2 linked regions of the Bombyx mori genome follow. The protein of the gene in region 2 interacts with the protein of the main gene of each other region in a pairwise test. Links are inferred from orthologs where the notes say so. Each region holds a gene or a part of one and is shown on either strand. Other genes may lie near its edges.

Region 1 (4,592 bases), on a different chromosome or scaffold from region 2:
AGGTCGGAGCAATCCTCGTTGGAGATGTTGACCCAACCCTTGTCGTTGATGTGGTACACTCTTATGATCCCGCCAGAGTACGCGTCGCGGTGAGTAGCGTGGTAAATCGCACGTCGACCCAGCTCTAATAAATGATGGAACTTATGGATAACAGATGTAGTGGTAACAGCAGCCTAAGGTCCTTAACAAACTAGAATGGTAAGAACACCCTAAATATTTTTGCTGCAGAACGGTACAAATCAAATAACAGCTGTCTCAGCATAAAAATATATATCTCTATATGTAAAAATGAGTTGTTGTTTGTTAGTCTCGCTAAAACTCGAAAACGGCAGGACCGATTTGGCTAATTTTGGCCTTAAATTATTTGTGGAAGTCCAGAGAAGGTTTAAAAGGTGTATAAATATGTAAATGCTCAGAATTAAATAAAAATAATAATTTCGTTTTCCCTTTGATGTGTCCCCCATCAGACCGATTCCTTTTGTTTATTTTATACAAAAGCTTAGGTCTTTTATTTATCGATTGAGGTCAGCTAGTTATGAATAAAATAATACAAACCTTGTGCGTCCTCATCTGACAGATCCCAGCTGTATCCAGAGTCAAGTACACCAAAAGCATACACAGAACCTGAGCCCACTGAGAACACCTTGCCTGGAGTGCGAGTACCTTCACTGTCTACATAGTATAGTTGTGCTCCCTGGATTAAATGAAAAATACTTATATGAGTCGTCTATTATCAAAGGTGGCAATCTGTGCATTTGGACAAAAAAATGTTATTGATATGTCAATACAGATTGATTTGAATATAATCGTCTCCTGCAAAGAATACGGTTCAAAACCTGCATTAAATAAAGGTTAATACTTAACCTGTTATTTATCTAAGATGTCGTTCAGAAGAGTTTTGTGACTGCCAATGGAATACAAAGTCAATAATTCGTTTTTCTGATTTACCAGTAATTGTCCAAAAGTCACATTGCCGGCTTTGATACTAGTCGACTCATATATACTATGAGCAATCAATGATCAATAAATTTAATTAACAACTCGGCCAAAAGTTTTTGACCCAATTAGACTCTATTTCAAAAACATATAAACATATTTTCAAAAATACTCGCTTATATAATTTGAAACTACAAAATACTTGTTTTAAGTATGCTTTTTTTAAATTATGGATTGAAAAAACCGAAAGCTGAAAGTCTAAATTGCATAAAAAGCATATTATAAAAGATTGTATTGTCTTGTGAGCCTGTATGGGTAGGTACTATCACAGAACCTATTTCTGCTGTAGAGCAGTAATTAATTTCAGTTTGAAGAGTGGAGCAGCCATTAATAAAACAGATTTAAACCTCATGTCTCAAAATGAGTTAGCGGCATTTATAGGCTTCAATAACTACTTAACATCGTGGCCCACAATGAGTTTGTTCACTTGTCTCAACATTTAAAAAAAAACAATACAATGTATTGCCAGGACTATTTAGGATGAATATGTTTGACACAGTCAAGACACAATTGGTGGTGAGAAGTTCATAATAGAGATCAATGTGGACAATTTTTTTCCAATTCTTGGGGACAAAAAAACATTTTCTTAATATCAATTTAGAGTTTGGCAGTAGTAAGTACCTACTAGTGGTCTTATTAACAACTTACTCTCTTGTCAATACCAGCTAACATCATTCCCATGCTGAGGCCCATTCCTTTGTAGTTGTACACCATGTTAGCCATGAGTTTACTGGCTGCTGCTACAGAAATACGCTCCCTATTCCGAAGCTCATAGAGACGGCATTGCTTTGCGAGTACTCTGTCCCAGTAGACACAGTCTGCTGCACCACCAGCGAGAGTACCTGATAAACATTATTTTATTATTAATTGTTTCAAGAATTTCATTGAATTCATGAGCGATCAAAAATGTTTTCATAGCAAAAGATATTAAAGAAACCTATTTTTTTATTTCATTGGAATCTCATTTTGGTAAAACTAAAACTCCATTATTTTTGTTTTTGTCTAAGTAAACAGTTATGCTCTAGAAACTTTAATGCTTACCAAGCAAATAGTCGTTGATTTCTACTATTTTCTTCATGGATTGAGAACCAATAAATTGGCCACCTGTAGCTCGAGAGTCGACGGCTAATAAGACTCCTCCCTGAAAAAATAATCTTTTACATCAGTAAGATATAAAATGAAAGAATGGTAGTATTTTTGTTAGCAAGTTTATATTTAACGAGTATTCTATAAATAATATATATTTATATATGGGTTGCAATATAAATTAATAATACTTAGTTTGAAAGAACTTCATATTAAATTATGAACTCACTTTGTATCGGAAACCAAGAGTGGTGGTGCCGTGGTCAAACTGAATTTTGATTTCCTTTCCAGTCTCATCCTTTGTGTTGAAGTGTGCTAAGGTTTCAGCAGGCTGTAAGGTGTAATATATTTTAATTATTATAAATAAAATAAAATGTTTTATTCTTCTATTTAATTACATTACTTACATTCGCAAATGGGGGAGAAGCGAGCTGAGCGCTGTTTACAAAGTTTTCACTGTAGCCGGTAATGTCATTATTGAATGATGCTAGAGAATCAACGGGTTTCAAGTTAATTTTTTCATTTAAACGGCAGAAATCGAGTAGAGCCATTTTTTGTTTAAAACTGTTTTCAATAAAGTCTTGATGAATGAATGACAAGCGAAATTTTCGAAAACGCCGATTTGACAAACGCAGCTATCGTTTGACATTTGACAATTTCAAATTGACAGCAGCATACACTTAATTTATTTGAGATGACAGCAGCACAAGTGTGCTTAGCATAGCTTACACATAATATTTGTGAGAAACATACATTTTCAATATGGAAACGAAGTCTTACATTTTTTTAATGATAGTAGACAACTGAGAAACAACATTTATTTTAAATACACCATGGTAGTTTCAATTTTAAATATATGAATACAGTACACTTGAAATCTTCCAATACAGGCTGGTAGAAAGTTATCATATGACAGCTATTCGTCGGTAGATGGCAGTCATGGATGAAATTTTGCATTTTTGCAAGATTGTATGGTTTTAAAACTGGAAATAAATGTCAAAGATATCTTGAAGTAGACAGGTAGAGTATGTAGATAGATAATGGGGGTAAGTGCGAATTATTGATAAAACTATGAGTATCCTTTTAAATAGAAAACCACACTTTTATTACAGGTAGCTTACTTTTTATTTTGAATTATTTGTTTTTATTCCTAGAGAGGTGATCGAGCTCACGTCCGTATTGTATAAGATTAAGTCCTTTGCAATATTTTTCTGTTCATAAACATTTTGCTCCAGATTGCCAAGTTTTCTAAAATCTGGGTGAGCAAGTAATCACACGCAATCATTTTTGGAAGTTATTTATATTTTACATTGATTACATCTTACTATACTAATCTATCTAAATTTCCATTGAAATACATGAAATTTAGAAAAAAATTGCCTGCTACCAGTAATACCAGGTGGGGCATGAACTTTTGGCGATAACAACAGAGGAAAGATTTCTTTACTAAAGATTACTGAGCGGGTGAAATGCTTGGTAGACCGGCGATCCGAATGTAAGTGTTCGGAAACTGTATGCAATATAATGTAAATTTACCTTGAAGATTTCGAAATTAATGAATCTGTTAAATATGTGTTTCATATTCGTGAATTATTTTGTTTGACCACGGAGAAGAAAGAAGTCTTCGTAGTGTTTAAAGATAGAAAAAAAGATAAGAATAAAGAGCATTATATTGCAATCAGCGTGTTCGAAATGTTACGATGAAACATAAATAGCTCGTCAATTTAATCTAAAAACCGCTAGGAGCAAGAAAATATTAACCCTTCTTTTATTGCGAAATTTTGATTTGTTATCTAGGCAAGTAATGTAGGTAAATGTCAAATTGTATAAAAAGTACACATGCAAGATATTTCTTTGAGAACGACGATCGATTCTACTTAATATGAAATTGACGAGAGATGTACATAAAAACTGCATATTTCTAATTAAATACGTACTCAACAAATGTTCACGATTGACTTCCGCGGTGAAGGAATAACATCGTGTAATAAAAATCAAACCCGCAAAATTATAATTTGCGTAATTACTGCTGGTAGGACCTCTTGTGAGTCCGCACGGGTAGGTACCACCACCCTGCCTATTACTGCCGTGAAGCAGTAATGCGTTTCGGTTTGAAGGGTGGGGCAGCCGTTGTAACTATACTTGAGACCTTAGAACTTATATCTCAAAGTGGATGGCGCATTTACGTTGTAGATGTCTATGGGCTCCAGTAACCACTTAACAAAAGGTAGACTGTGAGCTCGTCCATCCATCTAAGAAAAAAAATATACATAATATATTGCTGTTATGAAGATAACACTAGATTTGTGGAGACAATGCTTACTGTATAGATCAGTCTTTTAGGTTATGTTTTGTTTTAGAACCTACCTGTAAACCTTGTGTACATTTGTTTTATTTCAGGGTGTATTTTTTTTATTGCCCTTGTAGGCAGACGAGCATACGGCCCACCTGATGGTGAATGGTTACCGTCGCCCATGGACTTTAGCAATGCCAGGGGCAGAGCCAAGCAG
Region 2 (3,377 bases):
GCAGTCACGCGATTTCATTTAAAGTGACAGTATTTATACTAACTAGAGGTCCCGCAGTAGTCGAAATTCGACTATAATTAATTGGAATTGTAAGTTTGTACACTATTATGATTGTATTTTATACTTCTATATTCACGAATTTCGCCAAGACTACACTATAAGAAATATTAACAAAGACAAACCATATTCTATTCTCAATTTGACAACAGACGTCAAGAACAAAAGTTTGACAATAAATAGTATGCATGCGTGTGTGCGTCAAATACATGGTATGTAGTGTGTGTAATGTTTTCTTTATTTATTTAATCTATCTTTTATGCATTATTTTAAAAAAATATTAGCGTTGTGCACTTCTTCTCTATATTCTCTATAAGTGTGAAAAATTTCATACTCCTCCGTTCGCGCAATTTTCTTAAAAAGGGATACAAAGTTTTTGCTTCACGTATTAATATATAAATGAGCTCGTTCGCCCGTCTGTGCCAAAAAAATATTACTCAAGTGTATTCACGGGAATTATCAAAATAATACAATCGAATAATCAAATTGAAAATAATTTTACTTCTTTTAAATAAAACTATAATTCTATTTATTTATAATGCGTTTCAAATAAGAATGTGCATGGACCTGCGCTATATTGTGACAGCTGTCAAATCGAAAAAAATAAGTAAAGTCAGTCAAAAAGGTGGGAATTTTTAAATATTATTTTTTAATCCAAATCTTTGAGTTTGCCGATTCCACTCATCTCACTGCTTCAGTAATCATCATCATCGTCGCCCATCGACAGATAATAGAGCCCGACAGTGTTGCAGCCTTGATTTTTAAATAGGTGTGTTTTTTCTTATATAATCTAAATTCATGCTTAATTTACCTCGACCAGTACTCATCATATCAAGAAAATTATATAGAGTGTATGGTTTATTAAAACAAACATATTAATAGTCTTCATAATTAGGCAAAAAATTCACTAAAATATAGAAAAAAAATTTTTTGTTGCTGTCCGTAATTTTTTATCGAACTTTGACAGATCAAGGTCATTGACTTGCACGTTCTTATATGAAACGCACTATATATGAGTGTACATAATGCGTTTGACGGATGCTAGAAAACTGAATAAAATTTCTAAATCATAGCCATATTATACAAAAACTCATTCACAATATATTATTATTAAATAAAATGTATTATTGCATTCTCTTTATATATTATCACGAAGGAAAATAGTCGATTTTCTCTTTTATCAAATTAGAGGCAGCAACTCTCGTTACAATTCGTTGCGTATTTAAACATTTTTACACCAACGAGATACCATATCGACGTTGACAATATTACAAAACTGTTCTTAGTTCAATGATAGATGTTTCATTTTAAATTTAACCTAAGTTAACGAACATTTTATTCTGAACGTAATTTCTGTCACGAATTACTTACAACTCGCGGAATAAGTTAACAATCATATTATCACAGTAGAGACATATCAAAAATAAATATTTTCGTAACAAATAATTATATTATATTGTTTGCTTTGAACATCATTTTAAATTTTGGTAGAGCTTTAACGAATTGATGGAAATAATATTGTATTTTTCACCATCATATCGCTTGCCTCCGAAGCAAAGTTCGCCACCATCACCGGTAACCATAGCGATCATCCAATGCCAGATCTATTCAGAGCTATCAGGCATTTGGCTCTGCTAATGAGTTTTCTTTCAAATTATTTCCTATGCGGTAGACAGCAGTTTGGCTGGCCAATAATTCTCAGGCAGGCTGAATGATCGCGAATGACTTCGCAAAAAAAAAAAAACAAAAACAAAAAAGAGTCTATCAATAAACGAAGAGCAGTTCTGAAATTCATTTCATATTCATTAGGTAAACGCCGGTAACATTCTATTTATCGCTTCTACACGAATAATGAACAATGTCACCGTTTGGATAACGCACGAACGCGCTCTGATGACCGAAGCGCTTCTTGCAAACTTGACACACGTCGTAGTCGTTTATAACAACACTCTTTGATTCGTGGTAATGCTTCAGCTCTTGGACCTAAAACATACAATTTGTTATTATTACCACAGGGTTGAAGATCACCCAGTCGCAGGATACTTCTTTTTTTTTTTTCAATAACCCGCACAGGTGAACCTTTCACTGTTCATGAATGAGGCCGAAGTTTCAATTGTATTGGATATAAGTTATTCCGCCTATCGGACCGAAACGCATAATTGGTTCGCGGCCGAAATGTTGCCTGCGGGATTGGATCACCGGCATGGTCGCATTGCTCGATAGAGTACATTAAGAACTTCGAACATTTACCAAAATACAGAGACACTGCAAAGTGGAGCATTTCAATTATAATAACAATTCCTATGTACAGAGCCGTACCCATTTGCAACCTATACTATTGATGATTACAGTATTATGTACATAATTACGTCACGGGACGCCTCGCCGTGTAGACCACGGAAGCTTCTCTTTTGTATAGTTAAAGATGAAATAGGCATTAGGCATTACCTGCATATGTTCCGCATACAACAGTCCTTTGAGTATTTGCATTCTCCGTTTCAACGTGAGTTGAGCCTCTAATGAGCTTTCCAGAAAGTGTTTCAATCGGCTAAGCGGCACCGAATCTGGTAATACTGCGAGTGCCTGAGAAACAACATTCAATACAGTAATACCACAACGATACTATTATTAGTCAACATAATTTTTAACAAGATGCAAAAAGGCCGAATGTATTTTGAGTTAACTACATTTATATTTAAACTTCTATGTCTCACATGTCTCACGAGGACATCAGAAATGACGAAGCTGACCTAAGCTGATGCGACTACAGGTAAAATTGCTGACAGTAATGAGTATTTTTTATAGTTTAGGTGTCTGGACGAGCTCACGGTTCACCTGGTGTTAAGTGGTGACCAGAAACCATAGATATGTAAATACCGCCACCTACCTTGAGATACGAGTTCTATCTAAATTTTTACAGTACAACGGCTGTCCCGCCCTTCGAACCGTAACGCATTACTGCTTCACGGCAGAAATAGGCAGGGTGGTGGTACCTACCCGTGCGGACTCATAAGACGTCCTATCACCAGTAAAATATTTATAAATATTTAATTTTAGGCATAAACCCAAATGAGTAAAGTGTCCGTAAATGAAAGTTATCAACTTAATTACTTGAGGCTCAGTACGGAGTGGATTTCTGTTTGTGTCCGTCTCATCTTTTAAGCATAGGTATTTGGGCAGGGCAATAAAAATCTATCAAGTGACTAATTAGTTGAAATGTAATTATTTTTTTACTAATCCATCATTCTGGTACTGCACGTAATGTAACACGATTAATAATTGGCTGGTTGTTTTTTCTTTCCATTACGGTCACAGAAAGT

Evidence for each region.
Region 1: the proteins of vam6/Vps39-like protein (region 2) and proteasome subunit beta type-5 interact in a two-hybrid assay, tested with the Caenorhabditis elegans proteins (2 studies listed by BioGRID). The link is inferred for Bombyx mori from reciprocal best matches to the Caenorhabditis elegans genes vps-39 and pbs-5.

What each region holds. Positions count from the first base shown.
Region 1 is NC_085126.1:4,546,453-4,551,044, forward strand, and holds the start of proteasome subunit beta type-5, read right to left. Parts: upstream 2,881-4,592; 5' UTR 2,634-2,880; coding exon 2,490-2,633; intron 2,414-2,489; coding exon 2,312-2,413; intron 2,138-2,311; coding exon 2,038-2,137; intron 1,839-2,037; coding exon 1,645-1,838; intron 695-1,644; coding exon 556-694; intron 125-555; coding exon 1-124. UniProt on the Caenorhabditis elegans protein: Component of the 20S core proteasome complex involved in the proteolytic degradation of most intracellular proteins. This complex plays numerous essential roles within the cell by associating with different regulatory particles.
Region 2 is NC_085124.1:8,461,915-8,465,291, forward strand, and holds the end of vam6/Vps39-like protein, read right to left. Parts: intron 2,641-3,377; coding exon 2,506-2,640; intron 2,041-2,505; coding exon 1,885-2,040; 3' UTR 536-1,884; downstream 1-535. UniProt on the Caenorhabditis elegans protein: Plays a role in vesicle-mediated protein trafficking to lysosomal compartments including the endocytic membrane transport and autophagic pathways.